3 linked regions of the Arabidopsis thaliana genome follow. The protein of the gene in region 3 interacts with the protein of the main gene of each other region in a pairwise test. Each region holds a gene or a part of one and is shown on either strand. Other genes may lie near its edges.

Region 1 (6,868 bases), on a different chromosome or scaffold from region 3:
GATTATAATCTGCCTCTATTACAGCCCATCTTTCCTCAAAGATCTGTAATAGCGTAACCGCCATGAGATGGACATCTTGTCCTTCTGGGTTGTAAGTCATAGCATTGTGGAAAGTAAGTCTAACATCCTCTGCAAATTCTCTTGGTGACTTGTACAAATTCTTCATTAACGCAGACTTGATAGTTCCCAAATCCATAGGGTGCTCGATAATGGTGTAATAATCAAGTAAACCTAGACCCTTCACGTCTACTGGAGCATTGAACACCCAACCATGCTTATGCTTCATCAGCCTTTCAAGCAGAGCACTGCAATTCTTGAAAACTTTAGTCCCTGCACCAAAACCATGCCCAACGTCCCCTCCTTGCTTCTTTGAACTCGATTTTGATTTCTTGTTACTCTCTGCAGGTGGTAACTTGTCACCAAGTAAAAACTCTGAATTTCTATAAAACTGATTTGCCTTGGGTGTTCTTTTCTCCTTTTCCACATGCTCATTGACTCCCTGAGTATTCTCCAACACTGATATACTTAGTTGATTTACAGGCCTTGGTGCTCTAATGACCTCACGAGGAAGTCCAGCTGATGCAAACCCTGACAGAATCCTCCCTCCTCCATTATTAATACCAGTGTTAATCAAAACACGAGAATCGTTATATGCACCAATCTCGCCCTCTTTATCCTCTATCTTCTTTACCATTCCTCTGACTACGTTAAGCTGATCTTCAAGCTTCTTCCTGATCTCCTCTTTCTGTTGCTTCGTTGTGGAGGCTACATGTATCCTAATACGTCCATCTGCGTCCTCCTCCATTGGCATGCTTCCAGCAGCAGTAGCATGAGCAGAATCAGAGGTAAGCCCAGCGGGCTGTTGGGCATCAGTGGTATCTCTTTCCACAAAGTTTTCAGGATGAGCTTCTTTTATTAGATTATCTGCATCTATCACGTGGACATCTTCCTCAGAAGACACTTCAATGGGATTCTTGTCAACAACAAGAGTATCACCATCTTCCAGGGATAGGGTTTGAGAAGGTGCTTCGATAGGGTTCTTGTCAACAATCACAGTGGTAACATCTTCTTGGGCAAGGCTTTTAGGAGGTTCCTTGATAGAGTTTTCATCAACAACCACTGTATTGACATCATCTTGAGCTTTGGGGATCTGAGAAGGTACTTCTTCAGACTTGTCCATAGCGGCCAAACTGGCATCATCCTGTGGTTGAGCTTGAGAAAATGCTTCGACAAGAGGCTTGTCAATGACTTTGTCTGAATCATCACCAGGCAGGTTTTCAGAAGGCGCTTCAGTTAAGTTTTTGTCTCCATGAGAATTAGTCCCAAGAGCAGCCTCTTCGATAGAATTCTTCACCACAACTATAGGATCCTCAAACTCTGGAGCTAGAGTTTCGGCAGGACTCACATCATTGTTATCATTCTCGTTTTCTAATAGCCCCTCAGGTTTCTCGATGGCAGCCTCAAGGGCAAAGAAAGATGACTGTTTTCTTTGACCTTTGCCTTTCCTCTTATAAACTTTGATGATTTGCTTCTCTCTAGCTCCATCGATACCTTCTCCTCCGTTAACAGGCTCCGAAGCCATACATATACTTCAGAAACCCTAATTTCACGCCTTAATTGCTCTCGATTGATGCTTTTTCGTCACTTCCTCCGTTTAAAACTGATGGAAAGCCCTCAAATCGGCCTAAAATATATCCTCCACCATGAAAAAACTAAGAAACCCTAATTTCTAGACGAAACCTTGGCTCGATTCTGAGAGAGTGTGCAAACTTTAGAGACTGCACAAGACCCACGAAATTAGGGTTTCTGATTCAGAGAAATCAATTGGACGCAACAAGTAGATAACGACTGTGTAAGATAAAATCCCAGAAGAATCTGTGTAAAGTCTCGATAAGACGGGATACAATTAGGTCATTCGAATCTCTGTCTGAGCTTAGAGATCGACAAAAACCAAAGGAGGAAACTTGCGTCAGGAAAGGGAACCAGAGAAGGAAATTGATTGATCTGAAAAAGGAGAAATTGAAGGAAGCTTTGTTACCTGCGAGTTTGGGAGAGAGAAGGCGCCGCAAGAGCGAGAGGAAGAAGAAGGAGAAGAAAAGAACCAGCGTTTAGATTTGGCTCGTTTACCCGACCCGGAATGCTTTTTAGGTTTGGGCCTAAAAACTAATCAATTTCGCGTATATCATAAAGAAGCTCTACCCATAAACATTTACATCTGTAATCAACAACAACAAAAAAGAGAGAGAACTCAAGTAAAATAAATAAAACAATTTATAATTTTGAATGATTTTTTTCTTAAATCTGGTACTAATTAAATTAATATTTAAAGTTAGTATATTTTGTATATGTATTGTAATATTTGTATATTTTCTAAAGCAAGATTTTTTGTCAAGTTTATTCATTATTTCTGACAAATATGTGATGCTGACAAGCAATTGAAAAAAAAAAATCTTGCTTCAGAAAATTTTGAATGCTTTTAGATTCACTATATTTCTGCTGGTGAAAAATTCCATTAAAGTTTCACTCATTTTTTGTTATAAAGGTAATGTTTTTCTTTTTTTAGTATATAGATTGATTATTTCAAATACAAACTAAGTGATGTTGATATATGTTATATAGTATATCTATGTAATTATTTGTTAGTTATAATTGTGAATTTTAGATATAAGAAATAAGCTAAATGGTGTTTTTTAATTAACTTGAATAGTATGAACTCATATTTAGTGAAAATGGGAATAGCTCTCAAAATAAGCATAACATGCTGCTTTTTTAAATAGAACATATTTGCTAAAGAAAGATGCATGCAGGAACTACATAAAAACGAGATCATGTAAACAGAAATGCTTCATTAGTGGAAAGACAGAAAATTAACTACAGCATAAGAATATTACATTATAAGTTAAAAAGTTGTAATATCATATTAAAACTCTCCCAAAAATGTTACATTACACATTTTTTTTTGCATTCTTCTATGGTCAGTGTCAGTGATGCCTCGGGTCAGGACCACCGGGACTAAGCCGCTTTGAGTCAAGAGTATTTCCAAGGATCGTCTCTTCGCCTTCTGATCTCCCCTTCATCTCTTTTAACCTCTCAAAAAGTTCACGTCTTATCTTTTTCAAACGACTTGAACCAGAAAATCTCTCTTCGGCAACCAATGGTCGACATTCGTGCACCGATGTCAATTCGAGTACTAGAAGCAGGACCAAACAAACCCATAACTTGAGACTTGCCATATATATGTAACTTCCTCTTAGTTCTTAAAGGTGAGATATATAGTCTTTGAAGATTTTAAGGGGGTGATCTCCATATATAAGCTCAATAGCTACGGTATTTATAGAGAAGCTAAAGTCCTAATTAACGTCCATCTATGCAGAAATTAAATACGTTAATTAAGTTGGAATCTAGTCATATCTACCTAGCTAGTCCCTTCTTATATATCTCTTAATATTTATTTTTGAAAGGTCGTCATCACTTGATTGCATTTGCCTCTATTTTTAGTGGGAACGTAGTAAGTGACGTAATGTATAATTTCTGTTAGTTAAAAATTGTAAAACGAATGGAAGAAAACAAAATTATGTCTATATTGAATGACATGCATAGCTAACTGATTTCACTTGAAATAGAAACTTAAAAGCTAATAATATTTAATTGGGAGATTATTTTTTAAAAAACTCACAATTCATATTCCATAAACTAAAACATAAATTAAAAGCAATTTGAGTATTGTAGTAATTCTACCGAACCCAAATGTATATAGGATATGTGGAAAATCATTATCGTCGTTTGGTTGATGGAGCCAAATGGATATAACCAATGAAGATAAGGCATGACGTTTTCAGAGTTGGCAATGCACATAAAATAAGGTGGAGGAGACCAATCTAAAACCTTAAACGATGTATATATTAATCCACCAGGGCCTTAACTATATATTTTGTAGCTTTATTCTATGTATAATAAGTATAAGTGGTTGCCGCCACGTCCACTTCGATTTGTAAAGAGCACGTCAACGTAAAAAGCTGATTATGGAAGCATGAAATAGACGAAAATAGTAAAGCACAACAAATCTTTGAGACAAGTAGTGACGTTTGACGAATTAACCGATTTTCATTGGAGTAAAATAAGTCGTCTGTGTGCACTAAATTAAATTATGAAGAAAAACTTACTTATATCTAGATAGGTTTGTGCCATTGACCTGGTTTATCTTTAAATTTAGCATTTTTGAAGAATCAAATCTTAGTTATGCAGAAAACTCTTTGCGGAAATAGGATCTGGATCGTACGTTCTCTGTATCATATGTATAATTACTAATCATATAGACAACAAACTATGAGATCATCTTATAAATGATAGTGTCATAACCTAGTTCAGTTTCCCATAATCCAATAGTAGTTTACAATTTTACAAAAATTTGTGAACATTTCCTGTCAACTATTTGCGAGTCATGTGTGAGTGTGACCATGTGGACTGTTGAGTTCATTAAAATCTCTCAACTTACAACGTAAATTTGACACATCAATTACAAAACTGATCCACATTTTCTTGTTCTCCTTTCACATATATAGAGAAGAGAAGATACTACTACTAGTCCTGAATCACGATTTATATGAAAAAAGTGCAGAGATCATCAAATCATCTGCAGATGGAGATCGCCTGTTTGCTGGGCAAGCTCTACCATCATCGCTTCATCAAAGAATTTATTTCCGCTGACGTCTTCGCTCATTCCCTGCATAACCAACAAATTATACATATCGTGAGAGTCTGAAACTGATGATCCAAACACCCAACGAGTCATACAATATAACTAGCCTAGGATGTATCCAGCAAATTATAGCTGGTGTTACTTGGTTAAAGAGTAATTAGCAAGGGCCGGGTTTGTAAACAGTAGTTTCGGGGATCCTTTGGTTTGTGAGGGTTTACTGGGGTCATTTAACCAAACACTAGAGTAACAAATCAGTTTATGGTTTCATTCGTATCTTTAACCGCATGAAACCCACTAAGTTTTGGGATGTGCATTGAAACAAAGGAAATCATAATACCTTTCTACGGCGGGTCTTGACCATGAATTCCCGAGCTAGATGCTGAATAGGAGCGGGCTCAAGTGGGCGCAACTGGATGGCTTTGTCTAGAGGGTCTCCTGGCACAATGGCCCAGTGATCAAACACAGATAGGCAAAAGGCTTGTCCCTGAGTGTGGTACCTCAGATCTGTCTCAAACCCAAAGGACTCTATCACAGGCAGAAAGGCCTGCATCAACACCAAAGAATATACTCAATGAATCATCACTTAGTCAAATAACAGGAACAAAGTAAGGAGAAAAGACACAAACAAAACTAACCTTCACGATATAAGCTGGAGTACCGGGTTGAGGAACATCAGATGTGACATGCCCACGTCTACGTGACAAAACTGTGTAGATTGCAGTTACACAGTCGATTGGTGTTTGTATCTGCGACAAAACCATAACTCTTAGTTATCATTTTAAGAGAAAAAATGTGACGAGCAAAAATGGAAAGGGATTATGTACCTCCACATAGTAGACAGGTTCCATTAGCCTTGGAGTTGCCATTAGAAAAGCTGAATATGCAACACGTCTTGCTGTTGGAATCATCTGACCAGATCCTCTATGCAATGGCTCTGGTGCTATCCGTGCATCAACAATCTTGAACTTTACATTTCTGATGGGCTCATCACAGAGGGGACCTTCACGAGCACCCCACTGGAACCTGCAAGAGGAATAAAACGAAGCCACTTAGCTAAAGCCAACAAAATCGAGTAAAAGAAAAGTGTAACAGAAGAAAGATGATTACCCTTGAACAATGGAGTCTTTCACTGCCATCATCAAGTTCCTGTCCACCTCAGTTGGAAGGGTGTCATCCAATAATATGTTTGGCCCCTGATCAGTCGAAAATCAACAATCAATGAAATTGTCAAAACAGACATAAACCAACCATAACAATAAAGATAAAGTAAACCCCAGATTGCAGTGTTTTAAGAATACAAGCATTTCACCTGTTTGTCAGGGCCAAAAGCCCAGATGGAACGTGCAGCAAGTAAATCCCAGTCATATTTCGTCCTGAAGAAGTCACCAAGTTGTTTTCTGTTCCAGTCAATGCTTACAACGCCATTCTCAATGTCCTCTGCAAGTCCTCTATCCAATGGCTCTGCAATCTTTAGCATGAAACAGATATCAGATTTTTCACAAAGTAATTGTGCTTGAGCACCATACCAAACATCGCAGTCTAATATATAAGAGATAATAGTGGAAAAAGAAGATCTCTTACCATAGTTATTTTGTTCTTTTTGTTTGGTGTCTCAGCAAAACACTTCATCGACGAAGATTCAACCACTGTCTCACAGAAGGAGACCACCGGATCTGCAACCTACAAATTTAAGAAAGCAAAAGGATCTTAGCTATCAAACAGCCAAATCAGCAATTTGCTTGCACACCGGAATCACAGTCATAGAGCCAAATTAGAGATACAATTAGATACCTTTACTTCGACCTCTGAATAGAGCTCCCTGAGGTCCTTCATGATTGAATCCAAGTACAACTCACCTGTGCCTAGAATAGTATGTTCCCCAGACTCCTCAACTTTGGTAATCGCAAGGGGATAGCTTTTGCTAATTTTCCTAAGCCCTTCCACCATTTTAGGCAGCTCACTAGGATTCAAAGGCTCAGTTGCAGTCTTGACTACTGGGAGGGTATTAAATTGGAGAGCCCGGAATATGTAGACATCTTCATCATAGCTTGCATTACACAGAGTCGCAGTTTTCATGATGGATGCATCGACACCTTCAATTAAAACCCAGGAACCGGGAGGGGCACTGCTTACTGGTATTCTATACCTAGCTTGATATATCCATAGCTT
Region 2 (10,974 bases), on a different chromosome or scaffold from region 3:
GATAGCTAAAACACTCAAGTTATTTAAAAATATATGTTAATAATAGTGAAAATAGTTAATTTTAAGATTAATAGTATTAAGGTGCTTTGTTAATTTTCTACTTTATTAGCATTAAATTGAGTTAGATTTTTCTTTACTAATTAAAAAAAAAAATACTATGTGCCTTAAATTTATTTAACTTTTTAGAAAGTTTGTCTTTTGATTTCGAAAATGAAAATTCATAAATAGTGTCTTATATAATAGTTTTATTTATAAATATGGTTTCTCTACACCTACTCAGAAAGTTAGTAAGCCATACATTTGGATTCGATTATTGAAAGAGATTGAACATCAGGTGCCAAAGTGTCTGGTTAATTGGTGGTTTAACTTAAACCACTTGCCTACATAAACCTTCCACGTTTTATACTAATAATATGTACACGAAATTAGAAAAACATATTACAACAAGTCAACAACTGTGGTGAGGTCCTTTTGAATTGTAAACTTTGTGTTCATTTGTTTATTTAATCGAAATTACATGTGAGATTTTTTTGGCATTTTTTTTTTTTTTTTTTTGAACAAAGGCTTCTTTTTTTTTTCCGTAAACAATACGAAGATAAATCAAATACAACAAAAAAATTAAGTGATTAAGCGACACCTTCACCACATACTTGAGACTTAAGCAATAATTATTACAATTTTTTTTGTCACTTCCATGTGTCGATGTTACTTGCCGGTGAACATGGTTTATATTTATATCTTTTGCTGCTATATGATTAGAAAACAATAGTGAAACTGAAAAAGCCGGTGTTAGTTTCACTTTTTGATAGATTTTTATGTATTGGGATGAAAGAACAAAACTTTTGTGGTTTGTTTAAATTGCTATTGTTTTTTTCAATCATTCTTGTTTTATTTTTGCTATAAATTTTGTTTCTGCTTGGTCTTTATTATTATACTAAGTGATTAAGTTTAGAAGATCCAAAGAACAAACATAATTATTGGAACAAATATGCATGTCAATTGGGTTAGTCTGCAAAACCCGCATATATTTGATCTCGGTCCGTACAAATAAAAATTTATATTTTAAAGATCAACATGACCCTAACCGATACGGCTAGGCAAAAAAAAAAAATTGTAAATTATAAAATTTCTTAAAAAATAATTGTAGATGAATTGAGTCAATCAAAATTTAAATAACCGTTAAAGCCAATTTAATTTAGAAGATTTTCTTTTTTTTTAAATCAAATAAATTTAATTGAAATTTAAATAACCACTAAAGCCAATTCAGTTTATAATTTCTTTAATATTTTAACATGTTTTTATTTCCATCTTATGAGCATGATACATACTAGTCTTATATTTTAAGAAAAGTTATAGACTATTCATTAAAAAAAGAAATTGTTATATATTTACGTTTTATTAGGATTTTATCTTTGATTAATATTATAGAACGCAATATGTTTTCGATAAAGTCATTGAAAAAAACTCAATTTTAACAGTGTATAATGTTAAAAACATCTTTGTATCCACTAGAGTCAAAATAGTTTTTTCTAAAATTAGATATGCACAGACTCATCACGCGTGTGCCACTTGCACTAGAAGCATTTTGGATAGGAGGTGGTGAAGACATGAGACACTCTTTCATATGCTCATCCCTAGCAGTGGCTTCCACAAAGACTTGAAGACAAAGTTCACACCCTTTTTCAGCGAAAATGGTTTTGCATTTTTCTTTGAATGGTCGAGAGGGATGGTTCGGAACTGACATTGTTCAAAATAATCATCAATCAAACACCAACCCAACAAAAAAACAGAGAACAAGAAGATCATATAAGCTCAAGCCATACCGTGAAGGTGTTCTCGAACAGATTCGAATGATTTACAATGTTTGAAGCAAACCCCACACTAAGGCTGATGAATCGAATGGAACGCAATCTTGATGTGAAAAACATATTCTCTATAAGAATTGTACCTCTTGTAGCAAGCAACTCATTTCTTGGTTTTGCTCCCGCCGGCTTCCATGGCTTTCACACAACACAAACATGAAATTATGGTTTAGACACAAAAAACAAAACTCGGAATGATATGTTGGCTCAGTTGGTTTCTCTCTCTACTTAAGTGACTCATGAGGTTTTGTCTTCGGTACAATCCATTTTTTGTAACATTTTTCTTTTCTATATAACCACAAATATATTTTCTTCTTCTTTTTTGTTCGCTCATACGTCACATATACATATCAATTGGAAAATATTAACTCCTTATTTTCATTAGAAAATAAATCATTACAATTAAACTCAATACATATGACGATATGAGTTTCATAAGAAAGTAATATGAAAAACAATTGAGTATATAATTTTTTAGTATAAATTTTGCACGGTAATTTTGAAAATTTTAATAAATATTTAATTGATAATATAAGAAAAAAAACTAACTATTGATTAAAAATATTTAGCAATTAAAAAAAATTAACTTCTTAAAAAACTAACTATTAATATTATGAATACTAACTAGCAATTCTAGTTTCTTTGTTCTTTACTTTGGGTTCCAGTAGCATTCATTTCATGGTTCGTTTGGTCACGTTGATCTGATCAGTCAGATACTTAAATCGGACGTTCCTACATATTCCTCGATTAAAAATTATTTTGCTTTTGCCAATATAAACCAAACGCAAACGGATTTTAGCGTTTTGTCCTCAACTGTTATATCTCGAGAGATTAGATAGGTTTCATAATGTAGGCCCAATAAGACCTTATTAATTTTAAATTCAAAATTTTAAAATATTTTTTTCTCTTCCGTTTACTCAGCCACTGTGACCGTTGTTTGCTTAGCCCATAAATCGATTTTTGTGTTTATTGGGCCTACAGATTTTCTTTCTTTAGACTGTGTTGTATAACAAAATGAAGAAGACTCAGAAACTCGAAAGCAAGCTTCGGTTTGGCTGAAGTGGAAGGAGGAATTAAGAAGATATGGAGGAAGAAAGACAAACATATCAAATTATACTCTACGACTTTAAAGATCAACAATCCATGTCATTGTGTCCAATCTACAGAAGATACTAGAAATTAGAAAAGAATTACAACAGCTTTGACCAAGTGACTTGTTACCATTCACCAGCCAATTACTCTCAAGCCAGAATTTTATTTAACCAAAAAATATTTCGGATGTAAATTCAGAAAACCGGAAACTTAACAACGATGACCAAAAGCCAAATTTCTTAGGAACTTGAAAAACTAAAAAAAATTAGGTAATTACTAACTTCACTAAAATAAAATATATAAAAATGTTTTTTTGTGGGTGAGAGAGAAAAGGAGAGAACTAAATACAGGCGTCCTTCAAAATACAACCCTCCCTGTGCTTTTGCATCCTCGCAAAAACAAACAATTAAATCTCTATTGAGGATAATCATAACAACAAACAGCTCCTAAAAGAAATCAAACCGGAAATCTTTACCCAGATGAACCGAACCTGGCCGGATTAACCAGAACCTAACCATGCAGCTCAAGAGTTTGTGAGCCTCCTTTTCCCTTTTCTTCACTGTACATTTTCTGGTTTCTCAGAGCCAGTCACCATTGCCGGACCAGAGATGTCTAGACGACGACGGTCCACCGTGTTCGCTCATGCTTCCTCTCAGTCTAAAGAAGTTTCTTCTACTACGCATGGGTCTTAACGGACCTGATCTGTTTGGTAGAATAAGACCTCCTACTCTTGGAATGCTAGAGGCAGAGTGAGGCCGGTTCTCCATGTCCTCTAGTGGTCCTGAGCTATAATCCATTGTTATGAACGACGAAGCTTGACCATACCTTAACCGAGGTGTCAAATTCCACCAGCTGCTATCCGAAGGAGCCAGATCGCCTTTGAAGTCAGCAGAGTCTGGTACTGATGAGTCCTTTTGGCTGCAATAATCACCACAGGTCTCATCTGCATCGTTGTATATAAGTTTTAGTGCCTGCACAACTTCACCCATGAATGGTCTGTGTGAGACCTCTTGGTGGACGCACATGGAGGCAATCGCAGCCACTTTCGCCATGTCATCAAAGTTGTAGGTTCCAGCCAATGCAGGGTCCACCAGTTGCTCCAGGCCCTCTCTGTTGGCTAGTAAGGGTCTCGCCCATGTCACAAGGTTTTCCTCTCCCGAAGGTTGAGACATGTCTACTGGTCTTCTACCGGTTAGAAGCTCTAGTAGAACTACACCATAACTATAGACATCGCTTTTAACAAGGAGATGCCCCGTCATTGCATACTCAGGAGCCACGTACCTGAAATTATTTCCAGGGTAGTCACTGTAAGTCCAGAGTGTCTGTATTCATCATATTTGAGTTGGAAAGAAATTTTACCCAAAGGTCCCCATGACTCGAGTTGAAATATGTTGACTTCCTTCGGTTGCTTCTCTTGCCAGTCCAAAGTCTGAGACTTTTGGGGTAAAGTCATCTTCTAGGAGAACATTGCTAGCCTTGAAATCACGGTGGATTACTCGGGGATTTGAATCTTCATGGAGATAAGCCAGTCCTCTCGCTGCTCCAAGTGCAATCTTCAACCGCGCATCCCAATCAAGCGTTCCTTCTGTTTTGTCAACAACCGGAAAGCCAGGTTTTAGGTGGTGATGCAACGAGAAGTGATGGATATAATTGGGATATATTGTTATTAAAAGTGCAGAGAAAAGAATATGTCACCGTGTAAGTGGGACTCAACACTCCCATTGTGGACGAGCTCATAAATCAAGCAACGTGTACGACCTTCAATGCATATTCCAATCAGTTTCACAAGATTGCGGTGGTGCAAACGGCTTAGCATCTCGACTTCGGCAATAAATTCACGGTCTCGATTCTGATTGTCCCTAGTTAGCAGTTTCACTGCAACCTCAGTTCCATCTTCCATACTCCCCTGATAAACACGACCAAATCCGCCCTCGCCCAAAACCCTCTTGGCACTGAATCTATCAGTAGCCTTCTCAAGCTCGGAGAGTGTGAAGGTCTTAACTGATAAAGCACATGTAGCCATGGAAGACATCAAAGAATCTGAGCCTGAGCTTCTGGCGCTACTGGAAAACATAGATCCAGCACCTGCAAGGCGAATAAATTTTTCAGAAACAGGTTCTTTTAAAGCTATAGAAGCGTTAAGAAGTCAGAGGGTGAAAATTACCAGGCCTTTTGTTAATCGATGGAGCCAAAGCCGGACCAACAGCATTAGATGACTTCCCAATTTTCTTCCATTTCACGATTATAGAAATAGCTCCAACCAAAACCAGAATGAGGACAAAACCTGACAACGCAATAATTGCAATCGTTCTAAAACCTATTCCCTGGCTTTTGTTGGCAAAAGTTGTTGCATTGATCGGAATTGGAAGGCCTCCTGGAGCATCTCCAGTAACATCTCCATTTGGCGAAGAAGAAGGAATTCCTGAAGCAAGGTTAAGAAGTTCAAACTTTGAAATAAAACAAAAAAAAAGTAGAAACTTGCATCTGAATGAAATCAGTTTACCTGGATAACTTATGTGCGTAACCTCATAATCACCAAAAACAGTCTCATTTAGAGGTACTTTCTTGTGCCGGAATCTCTGATAAATAAGTGTTGCTGTAGTGTTGTCGAACTTTTCCCCAAGTGGAACAAGGTTAATATCCACCACTGTTTTCCCTTGATTTTCACTGTCGGCACTGGCACCCATTATTTTCACTTGGCTTTGTTCCAAGTATGTTCCAGCAGCAACCTCAATTTCTAACTCGTTGGTCACGGGGAAAATAGAAAAAGGTGCGACACTTAGTAGAAGCTGAACTTTCATGGGGAAGACACAACCACAAGGTGAACCAAAGGGAGTTGAAGTGAGAGGCTCCACACATGTCTGCTGACAGTCTATCAAAAGGAAAGCCGGAAATACACAGGAAAAAGTAGTTACTACGCTTGATTTATCAACTGAAGTCTGAAGAAAAAGTATTCATATAAAACATTATCGTTGCCACTATAATAGGACGCAGGATAACCAACAAGAAGCAAAAGAACTACCATGTGACGAAGGTGACACTGCAGTGGCATTGCGTCTTAAATGCCAGCGACGATGACGGTGATGACCCTTGTGCCTTAGTGGTGGAATGCGACTTGGGTTGGGGGAAAAAGCTAAAAAGGGAAAGACAATGAACAATGAATACTCCTAGACAGAAACATAATGACACTATGTTTAGGTGACAAATAGGATTCCCTTACTGACCTGGTGAAGGTGTAGGAGCAACTGATGGATTAAGATAAGGATGAAAGAAATGCATTTGATGCGCCTTTGATCGGGTAAATGGCAAACTCATCGGAAATAACCGAGCTGCAAATGATAAAGCAAGCTGATAAGTCATCTATAGATTCTTTCTACACATGTCGAATATTCATAGCAGTGAAAAGTTTCGAAAAAATAGAATGTTTCTAATAGTATGCATACTCCATCCTCCTCTCTTGGGTTTAAAAGTATAATGCCAACTGTAGAGGATAAAATTTGGCCAAGAGAATGTCACACAAAATCGATATTTCCTCAAGATACTCAGAAAAGAAAGAGTAAGATCTATGTGCATTCTAGCTATTAAAAGGTTGTGTGCCAATTAAGGCACAAAACGTGAGGACTTGATCTTCACTCTCACGCTTCACAATCACAGATTCCAAACTTAAATAATCTAAACTCTTTTGCTTACTTTGTACATAACCAAAATTAGCTTCTAAATATATCTAAATCCAATAAACAATTCTAAATATAGATAGACCACCAACTAATCTTGAGCTGTCAAAGTAAGAGCAACTTAACTAAAGGTTAATTTCTCCTATCAAAATCGTTTCCTAAATTTGAAAAGGGGAAAAGAAATTTGTTAACTAGTTCATACCAAAGCATATAGGAAACGAGGCGAGAGAGTGAAGAAGAAGAATTAACAGCAGAAGCATCGCAAAGTTCCGCATCTCTTATCTCAAATCAAAAACCACCATTAGTCAATAACGGAGACACCAAGCCTCGGCGAACACTCTCCGCCGATCAAAACGAAGACTAACCAGAACCAAAGGTGTAACCATATAGCTTCCTCAAAGCTTCACAGACATTGATTTCTCCCTCGTCCCGAAAAAAATTCAAAAACCCTAGGGTTAGAGAGAAGCGAGTAGGTTTTAACGCGATTTTGACAGATCCACGAAATGCGGCTCGAGATCTGTACAGAGCAGGGAAGCAGAGAACGAGAGCTTCTCCGACGATAGAGAGAACGAGAGCTTCTTCTCCGGCGAAGGTATCAGAGTGGTAGAGAGAGATTGGAAGCGAAGAGAGTAAAGTGAATTCGAAACCAGAAGAAGCGAAGAGAGAGAGAGAATTTAATGCTGATGGTGGGAAGGGGGCGTAGGGTAGTGTGTTGCCGTAGTGAGACTGCTTTCGGAGAAAGGCAAAAAAAAAAAAAAAAAAAAGGCGATGATGATGGCGTTAGCGAACACCGACGCGGTTTCGTATGCGCGTGGTGGCCACGCACATCGAAACGACAAAACTGGTGGCCGTTTGCTACCGTCACATCGACAAAACCGTTTCTTTTTTGGGCGTTAGTTGCCTTATTGGGCCGGGACTTACTTGAATTTTAGCCTACTAAACGGAATCGTTTTGGGTTTGATTTTTTTTTTTTTTTTTTTTTTAAAAAAAAAAAAAAAAAAAAATTAAAAACCCCAAATGGGCTGGGCTTGATTTCTATAAACTTGGAAACTAAGTATTTTCGGATTTTACTTTTGTTAAAAGTTTATTTTCGAAATATTTTACATTAAAAAGTAATAGTAATAATTCCACAAATGACAAGTATCAACTCTCAAAACTATTCCATTTTCGTGTTTGTTTCCAAAATTAATACTATATACTTGGCAAAATTTCCTATACTTTTAAGAAGACTTTATCAGTTATTTCCATTGTTTCTTTTTTTGGGTCAAAAATTCAATTGTTTCTAAAATATTAAAAGCTAACTAAATGATGGTAGAAGTAATTTTGATCCAAAATATAACAATGTTTTTCCGGTTTTGATAAATTTGGACTATTTGTCTATTAGGCAAAATAGAAGTTTGATCAAATTTAATCAAGACCATATGTGTGTGCCTCTTTCTATATCTATCGCTTTTCGATTGTTGATTGTCTTCTTTTACATTACATGGATATTTTCCCCTCCCTAATCATTTAAACAGGCAGTGATAATGATGGTATGTTTGATTTTTGACCTTAAAAAACTCAAATCAACAAACATTATTTATGTCAATTGGCAAACAGGTACTTTTTAGGACTTAATTTTATGATGTACTAGTAGCAGCTAATTAAATGATACACACAATCGAGATTGTAATAAACTACAGCACTCCCTCTACAAAATACAATCAGTGAAGAGAGTTAACCTAGGGACGGAGATACAAACTACCCTTATGAATCTTTCAATCATTCAAAAATGTTTCAAAATCAAATGACAACGTACTAGCATAGTCTTGATTTCCCGGTTCAGGTAACGGACTAACAGGGCCGGTTGGGTTAGGATTTTCCATTAGCCATTTCTCAAATTCCGATAGTTTGGTCTCCAAGACGTTTTCATTAATCCCTGGTTGCTGTTGTACCGTAGCTGTATGCGAATCTTCAGCAGTAAGAGGAGCTTTGGACGGAGCAAACCGATCCACATTTGTCTGAAACTGACGATTTCCACTACCACGTATGTTCTGGTCTGCATGTCGAGTGAACACGTTGCTCTGAGAACCAGGTAGCGCTGTGCAATGATCACGAACATTGCGTTGTTGAGTGTACGTTTCCGGGTTTAATGTAGGTGCCACTGTGGAAGAGCTATGGTGACTGGATTGTGAAACTTGAGCATTGTTAAATCGGATGCTGATACCATTTCCCGCAGAAGAGGCTACTCGGGATCGTAGGCTAAACCTATAAGAACTTCTATCCTTTTGGATCACGCTGTCGCGAACAGTGCTTAATGACTGTGCCGGTTGACTCTGCAACCCTTGATTGTGCGGAATCGGTTGCCTGATTCTATGCCTGGCTTTGACACTTGAAGGATTAGCAACACGGGTAGATGATGAACAAGGCCGGATCTCAACATGGTTTTTCCGAAGCAAAGTGTTTTTGGGTACCCGTAAAATACTTGGAGTAGGTTTTGAAGATGGTGCGGTAGGCATGTATCCTGTCCTGAAGTATTCACGTTGATTCTTCCATATCTTCTCTTTATCATTAGCATGACAATGATCTATGGAGGAGACAGCGATACACCAGTATGGACACGGAGCACGGATGTCACACACATAACAATGACACTTGAAAGAGAAACCAAATGAAAAGGATCAGCCAGGAAAAGAATCCATTAACGCTCCGTGTAGAATTAGAGAATATTTAGATACTTACCATGTCACAGTACTTCTCATGTGATGTTGAGTTGAACGCATACTTAGCACACGAATGTCGCGGATGAGGGAAATCTCTACATGCTATCTACAAAACAAAAAAAATGCTTTTTCATATTAGGAAAACTTAAGTGAACAACACTTGTATAAAGATGGAACACACCAAAGAAAAAAAGTTCATCAATGTTACACCGATTAAATTACAATAACACAAAACAGTTCAATAACTATCCATTCCTAAAACAGTTCCATCACCAAAGAAAAAAAGTTCATCAATGTTACAACGATTACTTTACAATAACACAAAACAGTTCAATAACTATCCATTCCTAAAACAGTTCCTCAGAGCTAAACAACACTAACGCATACATAATCTGAAATGAGAAACTCTGCCTTTCACACCAATTCGAATGAAGAAAACGAAAGAGAACTTAGAAATGAGAAGGGTTCAGTGAAAACATACCTCACCCTTTTGACCCACTACAAGCACATCATCATCATCGTCGTCGTCAACTGAAGTAGTCTCCCTCGTCTTGTCGGGATCACAGTCCAAAATCACACAGTCGTCATCATCTTCCAAAGCTTGATTCGACGAGTTTGGCTTCCGATACTGAGAATTTACACCACCTCTAACCTCAGAAAGAACCTCGACTATATCGGTACTGTCAGATGTATCATCGACGGGTTCCATAACACCGTTTAGCCAATCGGTGTATTCTACGTCTCCCCGTGTATCGACATCCTCTTCGCCTGAGCTCACATCGACTATATCAACATGATTACCCGAACCCATTGACAAAATTTTCGTAACTGATCGCAGAAATTCGCAGCGATTTTGAAGTAGAATCAGTTGGCATGTGAGAACACTATAATTCAGTAAATTGACCGAATTCTAATACCCGGGAAAAATCGAGGTAAGAAGAAGCAATGAAATGGAAACTTCGAGCTGAGAAATTAGGGTTTGGTTTGGAATCAAAAAGCGGATGTTGTACTGGTGGTGGTGACGATGAAATGACGAGTTTTGAACGGGTATATGATGAATATGGGCCTAATGGGCCTCAACTCAAAAGAATCTGGGCTGATTATAGAAATTGATGGATTTATATGTTTTTCATTGATTGTTCATTTGTTTGGTTTGATGATCAAATTCTTCCCAACCTTTTATGTAAAAACAATATTAAAACAAATCATTTTCTTTGCTTCAGAAAACAACTTTTAGGAAAACTCGTAATTTGTTGTAAGGAAACGGATGAAATATTTATGTAAGCAATACAATTCCCAAGACACAAAGTGCATGTGCGGCCTAGGGGGTCCTTCACTTCACGGTATCAATGCCTCAGCTTCCGCATCTCCTTATTAATATCCAACGTTTAGCGTGTTATGTGCACGTTCTAACAATATTTTCATGAAAATCAAACCCTAGAATTTGTTGATAAGTTTTTTTTATTATTATATAAATTTGTTGATATTTGTTTCAACTTGATTAGTAATTCGTACCATAGTGGTGGTATAAGTGTTATTATTTCAATCATAAAACCAGTACCAAAATTGGTAAAAACTGGCGATATATATTTTCAACTTTCTGTATTAATATTTTTTATTTCGTATAGCTATATTAGTATTGTT
Region 3 (6,100 bases):
ATGAGAATATAATTAATGAGAACTTGAAACATCACTCTTTTTACATTTTTTTAATTCAATATATCCTCTTTAATTTTGAGATCCACTTAAGTGGCTAAAGTGATGATAAAATCCAAACATGTTACACATATTCCTAGCCTAAAAATTAGACGATTATTATGAAAGAAACTAAATGAATATGCAGATTAAATATATCTAAGCTTTTCGAGATCTATGCTAAGAAAACAAGTAATTTGAAAGATATTTGAGGAGCTATCCTTATAACTAATACGTAAGATATAAGATTATGACAAGAACTTAACTAAACTTTCCAAGAACATCAAGTTGAATATGCTTAGATTGAATATGCAGAGATATGATTAATAAAGACATGTTATATTTTTAGTGTAAGAAATAAATTTTCTAAAATTTCACCGTCTCACAATCTATACATATAACTGAAAAAGCAAGGATATATAAATTCAAAAAAAAAACTGAGAATCTAAAACAACAATAAAAACAATTCAATCACATTCGTTTTTCAGATGAACTAATATAGTTGGGCTTTTCAAAAACAATTACAAATCATATTTATGTTTCAAAACCTATGCATTCAATTTTACTTTATATGAACAAACATTATATAAAATAATTTGTAAATAATACGTAAACCCGCACGTAGTGCGGGTACTCATCTAGTCATTGATAAAGAGGTAACATATTTTTAAGAGATATAGAGTTATTATTTTGATCTAATTACTGATTAATCTTACATAAACTCAACTATCAATCTTGTCCCAAATAATATAAAAATCTTTAGCAAGCATGTAACGTACCATTCACTATCTAACAAAAATCCAAACATTGGCATATGCTACTAGAGGTCCATTAACAAGACAGTACTAATGAACGAACATTTTCACATGTCAAATGTTTCATCTTTTTCATCATCATCATCCTTCAATTTCAACAGCAGCCTCTGCTTCAGATACATAATCATACCTAATATCAAAAAAAAAGTTAATAAGCATTTCATTGATGTATCAAAAGATAAAATCATACTATCATAGACAATCATCATAAAAATCGAGTTTAAAATAGCTTCGACTCTTTGTTTGCATTACATATTAAGCAAAATTTCCTTTGCTGATTGTAAACGCCAAACCAAACCTTTCTGATTGCGTTTAACTTAGCAAAAGAAATGTTTTATATAGTAAGCTGATGAATTTGTTATCTATGTTAAAACACAAGCAAAACAAAAAAGTGGGTTTGATTCTCACTTTATTTTGCGAGTAAGTTGGTATATCCCTGTAGCTGCCATAGCAACATTAACACTAAACAGGTTCCAGTTTTTCTGTTAAAAAAAAACAAAAGTCCAAAGAATCAGATCGATAAACCAAAACCAAGAATCCAATCACAAAAGTAAAACTCGAAAAGCAAACAAAACTTACAGGAGTAATTATAGTGCTGCAACGACACCAAATCATTCCAGTGCATGTCACAGCTAATACAATAATTATGGATAATATGTTTATAACAATAATTGTAACAAGAAAGATTAGAGATTTCTGAAGAGTAGTAGTTATTTACCAATTTGCTGAAGGTACGAAATATTTTCTGGAGGTTTCTGGAAATCTGCAATGTTAGCAATGCTTATACCCCACTTAAATGTTGGAGCCCAGAAATGAACTGATTAATACCCAACAACAACAACAACAAAAAAAGAGAGAAACTGTTTACAATTAGAATATATTATTCATTAGAGGATTTAAAGTGATATAGATTTTTTTTTGTCAAGAACTGTACTATAAACAATTCAACATTTTCCAATAGTAACGTTTCAATAGAGTCTTAATTGAAACGGAAGAAGAAAGAGTAATATATTATTGATGAAACAATGTGATAACTCACTTGTCTTTGGTCCTGCCGGGTGATTCCAGAGAGCTTGAAGCTTAGACGTCGCCATCAACTTTTGTTTTCCTCGGAGATTCTCTTTTCTCTGTCTTGTTTCAGTCTCCTACATAAATATTAACGAAATGATGCTACTCAAAACGACGTCGTATAAGCAATATGTAATTGAGCCACTCAAATCTTTCCGATTATATTCATCGATCGTACTATCGTGTAGTGTTGTAGTGGCCAGATCTTTCCTCTTTTAAGTGTTTTTTTGTTTGTTCATCTTAATATATTTTTTTTTGTTCTTGGGAAGCATTGACGCTTTGATTGGGCTTTGATGAGACTAACCCATGGGCTTGAGAATTGAGATGAGGTGATTTGTTAGAGAGAAATCGCATTCAATTTCGTTTCGTCTTGGAACTTGCTTTACTTTCATTATGGCAGACACATGATGACTCTATTGGTCGATAATAACAAGGAAGAGCATAATTAATTATTCTTGGCTCTTGATTCATTTCAAAAGAATGCATAAACTCTCAAACCTTGGATAGAAGCTAAAATTTATTTTTTACTTCTTCTTCTCCATTCACATTATCTTATAAGAAAACTTTTGAAGTACTTTTTCAAATAAATTTTTATAATGTTTTTTTCATGGTTTTAAATTTTGATTCATGTTGACACACTGTTTAAAACTCATAGTATTAAATCAATCTATGCGTTACATAATCATTCTCCAAATTTGTCCTTAAACTAGCAAACAAAAAGCTTTAGCTTTAGACTAGAGTCCCACCAGTGACGTACTCGGTGAAGGCCAACGCAACGAGACCGAGCATCGCAAACCGACCGTTCCATAGCTCGGCGTCTGAAGTCATGAACCCTTTTGACTTTGCCTCTGCCCTTATTCCCTTGAACAACGGAACCATCGATGCCAACGTCAACAACGCTGTTGTTCCTAGAAACCACCCGACACCACCGTCAGAGATCTGAGCAAACACGTTTTCTCCCTTTGATAACTCCATGGCGATGGCCGCCACGAATCCAACCATTGCTAGTCTCCCGTTGATCCTCTCGGGTGCTGGACCGCTAAACGCTAGCAAATCTCCAAACTTCGTACTCACCTAGACAATAAGAAAATTATTCATTAGCTTCATTTTTTTAGCTAGTGATATATATTAATGACTTTGATCATTAGATCATACCTTAGGCTTGCTAACTGGTGGAGGAGGAGACTGTGGCATTTGTGGTGGAGTGGCCGAAGTCGAGGTCGAGGGCACAGAAGGATCTTCCTTGATAGGATCGCCCTAAAAAAATAGTCAATGTAAGGAACGGTCAGGATTAAAAGTCAAATAAGTAACGTAGGGAAGTGGAAGGACTATGAGGTTAGTGTATATATACCTGAGCCATGCATCTGACTCCTACCGGAGCAATCCTCTTGAAGAAGAGTTGGTTTGTGTTTCTGATGTTGCGTGTAGTCAATACACCGGAAGGAGCAGCGAACACTGACTGCATGTTAAACGACGCCGTTGCCATTTCTGATTAGGTTTTCTAAAAGCCGAAGATCGATGAAGAAGAGAGAAATGAATAAATTATAAGACTTGAGAAGTGAGATGGAGTTGGTTTGAGGTGTAACTGTAGGATTATCTCTTCATTTATAGAGTTGGTGAAGGAAAATGATAGGCCCAGTATTTTCTGGATTTTATTTATCTTTACTGATTTATGGGATACTATGATTACTTATTTTATTTTTGTTTTTGTGTGGTGTGTAGTAGAGTAATAAATAAGTAGAAAGAAATCTATCAAAGAAAAGAAAAAAACTGAATTCAAACTTTTTATTCCTTTTTTTTCTTTTTTCCACTTTAAACTTTTTTTTTCTTTTGGGGAAGAAAAAGTTTCCTCAGAATAAATGTTTTCAAACTTATGAGATTTTTTCCATATTTATTGTAACACCTAACAAATCAGTTGGTCATTCGTTTCATTATTTGTAAAACTACCATATTAAAATTATACAAATAAATCGAATTATTTTGCTCGAAATCGTTAAAAATGTGAAAAAAAAAGAAGAATATATCGATATTTGGGTTGAACGCTAAACACAAAAACACGTAGCCAATAAAATTTGAGAAATGAGAGGAAAGTGAGGTTGAGATCGGTGAGAGGCCACGTCTAGTTGGAAAAGTGCAAGTAAACTGATGGCGTGGCCTCCTCATTACACATAGATACACATCTTCCTTGTCTTTTTCTGATTGGTCATGGCCAAGTGGGTTTGGCAAAAACACGTACAAATTTTTTTTTTGTCTCAAAATGTTAATAACAAGTTAGTGGCTCACAATATTCACTTGGGACTTGGGAGATTCGTTTTTGGTATAGAGAGAAGTCGCATTCAATCTTGTTTCGCGCGTATTGGAACTTTCTTAACTTTCATCATGGCAGACCCATGATGACTCTTTTGATCCTTTATGTGTCCCATTCATGTCTTCGTGCCCAATTCTCCTACGTGCGCTGTTTTTTTTTCCAGATTAGAACGGTAAATAATAGCACAATTGTGAAGATATGGGCATAGTCTTCGTGTCGGTATAGTCTCCTTTTCTATTGTCTTTTGTGTGTGAGTTAATTTCTAAATTTGTAACAAGGAGAAGAGAAACCTCTATTAGTGCTTGTAATACTTTTTGCTTGATAGTGAAAAGTTGTGGGAGACAGTTCCCACCCGAGACGTACCGGTTAGAGGCCAGGAGGCAGGAACTCGGTGATCAAACTCTTGTGTCAATTTCTAGCTTAAGCAATCTAACGTTCCACACATATAGAAAACTCAACAACAATTATTTAGATATGAATGATCAGATTTGATGTACCACCATCGATATGTGCTCTCTGCGAAAACTCTTTATATATACTGAAAGAAAACATACACCCACATTGGTAGTTTTTTTTAATGGATTTTACTAGCAGAGGATAATAAATTTATCGCATATATTACTTACATTTGTAGTTTCAAATACGAAAAAACTTGACCATTAGTAGTGTGAAGTGTGTAATTGATACTTTTGAGTTCAGGACGAAAAAATGTTCACGTCATTCGTGAGGAAATAAGGCATTTAGACTCAAAAGTCCAAACATGTGAGAAGGTCCTCGAAAGGGCGAACAATAAAAAGCCCCGAAGCCCATAACACGAGTGCCTTCTTATCCCCATGAGTCTTCGAGTGGACAAAGAGAGAGAACAACTTTGGGAAATTTATAGTAGTTTGTGAAGACTTCATATAAAAATTGTATTTATGAGATTATTGTGTTTTAAGAGGAGAGACGACGAGGGTCATCATTCATTTAATTACTTTTAACATTATAATTAAGTTCTGATTTATCCGGTCGTTTATGTAATTTATTGATTATATACTTAGGTTATTTAGCCGGCCACAAGGCCAAGCAAGCAAAACATAAGCTTGCGGCCGCTAATCATATTATTATTTAGTTTTGGCCGAATTTGCATAAAAATGTAGTCTAATGGTTAAAGTTTCAGTATTTGAGTTACAAGTTCCTTAGTTCAAACTTTGACAATGTGTTAAACTAATTTTTTTTTAAACGACAGAATCACTAAATAAATAAATATTATGTGGCCCATTTTGTTTCTCTTATTGTAACCCCGTGAAACCCGGGGACGACTAGGTAACAAATACTCTTTGGGTTTTCTTATAAATCAAATGCATATCTTTGATAAACTAAACCATGAAAGAAGGAGTTTTTTTAACTGATGAATTGATGATTATTGAAGTTGATATAAGTTAGATTCAAGTTTTGATGTACTGTATTTGGAACAGAAATGTTATAATATCTTACTAAAGCCCAGTTCGGAACAAGGCCTTACCCTTATTTAAAGCCCCAGTAGATCTGTTTTGAATTGTCGCTATGAGTGAATGAGGATGGGTAGGTCGACCCTCAGAATTCTTAATTGGCACATGTTGAATGTGAGCCCAAAGCAGCCACCAATAAAGTGAATCAACTCCGTCATTTTCAATGCTTTTTCATGCAAGAGGAAACATTAAAATATCGTCGTTATTAGTATTAATTATGTTTTTGACCTGTAAAGAATGGACAAAACTTATACTAAACAAATTATTTCGCCGTCAAAAAGGAAACAAAAGTTCAGATATAAATTCCTGGTAGCTTCAGGTCAAGATAAAGTCAGGTCAAAGGTGATGAGCTCTATAATGAGTCCTCCAAATGTGATTTAAGT

Evidence for each region. Proteins that work in one complex are often made in the same cells at the same time.
Region 1: the proteins of ELIP2 (region 3) and CLE3 interact in a protein complementation assay, tested with the Arabidopsis thaliana proteins (one large-scale study listed by BioGRID).
Region 2: the proteins of ELIP2 (region 3) and ALE2 interact in a protein complementation assay, tested with the Arabidopsis thaliana proteins (one large-scale study listed by BioGRID).

The regions. Positions count from the first base shown.
Region 1 is NC_003070.9:1,902,340-1,909,207, reverse strand, and holds CLE3 (CLAVATA3/ESR-RELATED 3), read right to left. Parts: upstream 3,291-6,868; 5' UTR 3,234-3,290; coding exon 2,982-3,233; 3' UTR 2,910-2,981; downstream 1-2,909. Other genes in the region: GTE4 (global transcription factor group E4), read right to left, coding at 1-1,582; MEE5 (Ribosomal protein S5/Elongation factor G/III/V family protein), read right to left, coding at 4,625-4,723, 5,037-5,243, 5,335-5,445, 5,524-5,722, 5,807-5,892, 6,009-6,167, 6,281-6,379, 6,491-6,868.
Region 2 is NC_003071.7:8,752,943-8,763,916, forward strand, and holds ALE2 (Protein kinase superfamily protein), read right to left. Parts: upstream 7,357-10,974; 5' UTR 6,904-7,356; coding exon 6,831-6,903; intron 6,284-6,830; coding exon 6,179-6,283; intron 6,088-6,178; coding exon 5,977-6,087; intron 5,827-5,976; coding exon 5,458-5,826; intron 5,377-5,457; coding exon 5,119-5,376; intron 5,040-5,118; coding exon 4,650-5,039; intron 4,540-4,649; coding exon 4,314-4,539; intron 4,236-4,313; coding exon 3,533-4,235; 3' UTR 2,910-3,532; downstream 1-2,909. Other genes in the region: RIN13 (RPM1 interacting protein 13), read right to left, coding at 8,386-9,261, 9,350-9,436, 9,812-10,141. UniProt on the Arabidopsis thaliana protein: Required during the differentiation of the protoderm into shoots epidermis and cuticle.
Region 3 is NC_003075.7:8,415,678-8,421,777, reverse strand, and holds ELIP2 (Chlorophyll A-B binding family protein), read right to left. Parts: upstream 3,537-6,100; 5' UTR 3,406-3,536; coding exon 3,271-3,405; intron 3,177-3,270; coding exon 3,075-3,176; intron 2,994-3,074; coding exon 2,649-2,993; 3' UTR 2,453-2,648; downstream 1-2,452. Other genes in the region: AT4G14695 (Uncharacterized protein family (UPF0041)), read right to left, coding at 933-981, 1,260-1,333, 1,431-1,483, 1,570-1,668, 1,891-1,945. UniProt on the Arabidopsis thaliana protein: Probably involved in the integration of pigments into the mature light-harvesting pigment-protein complexes.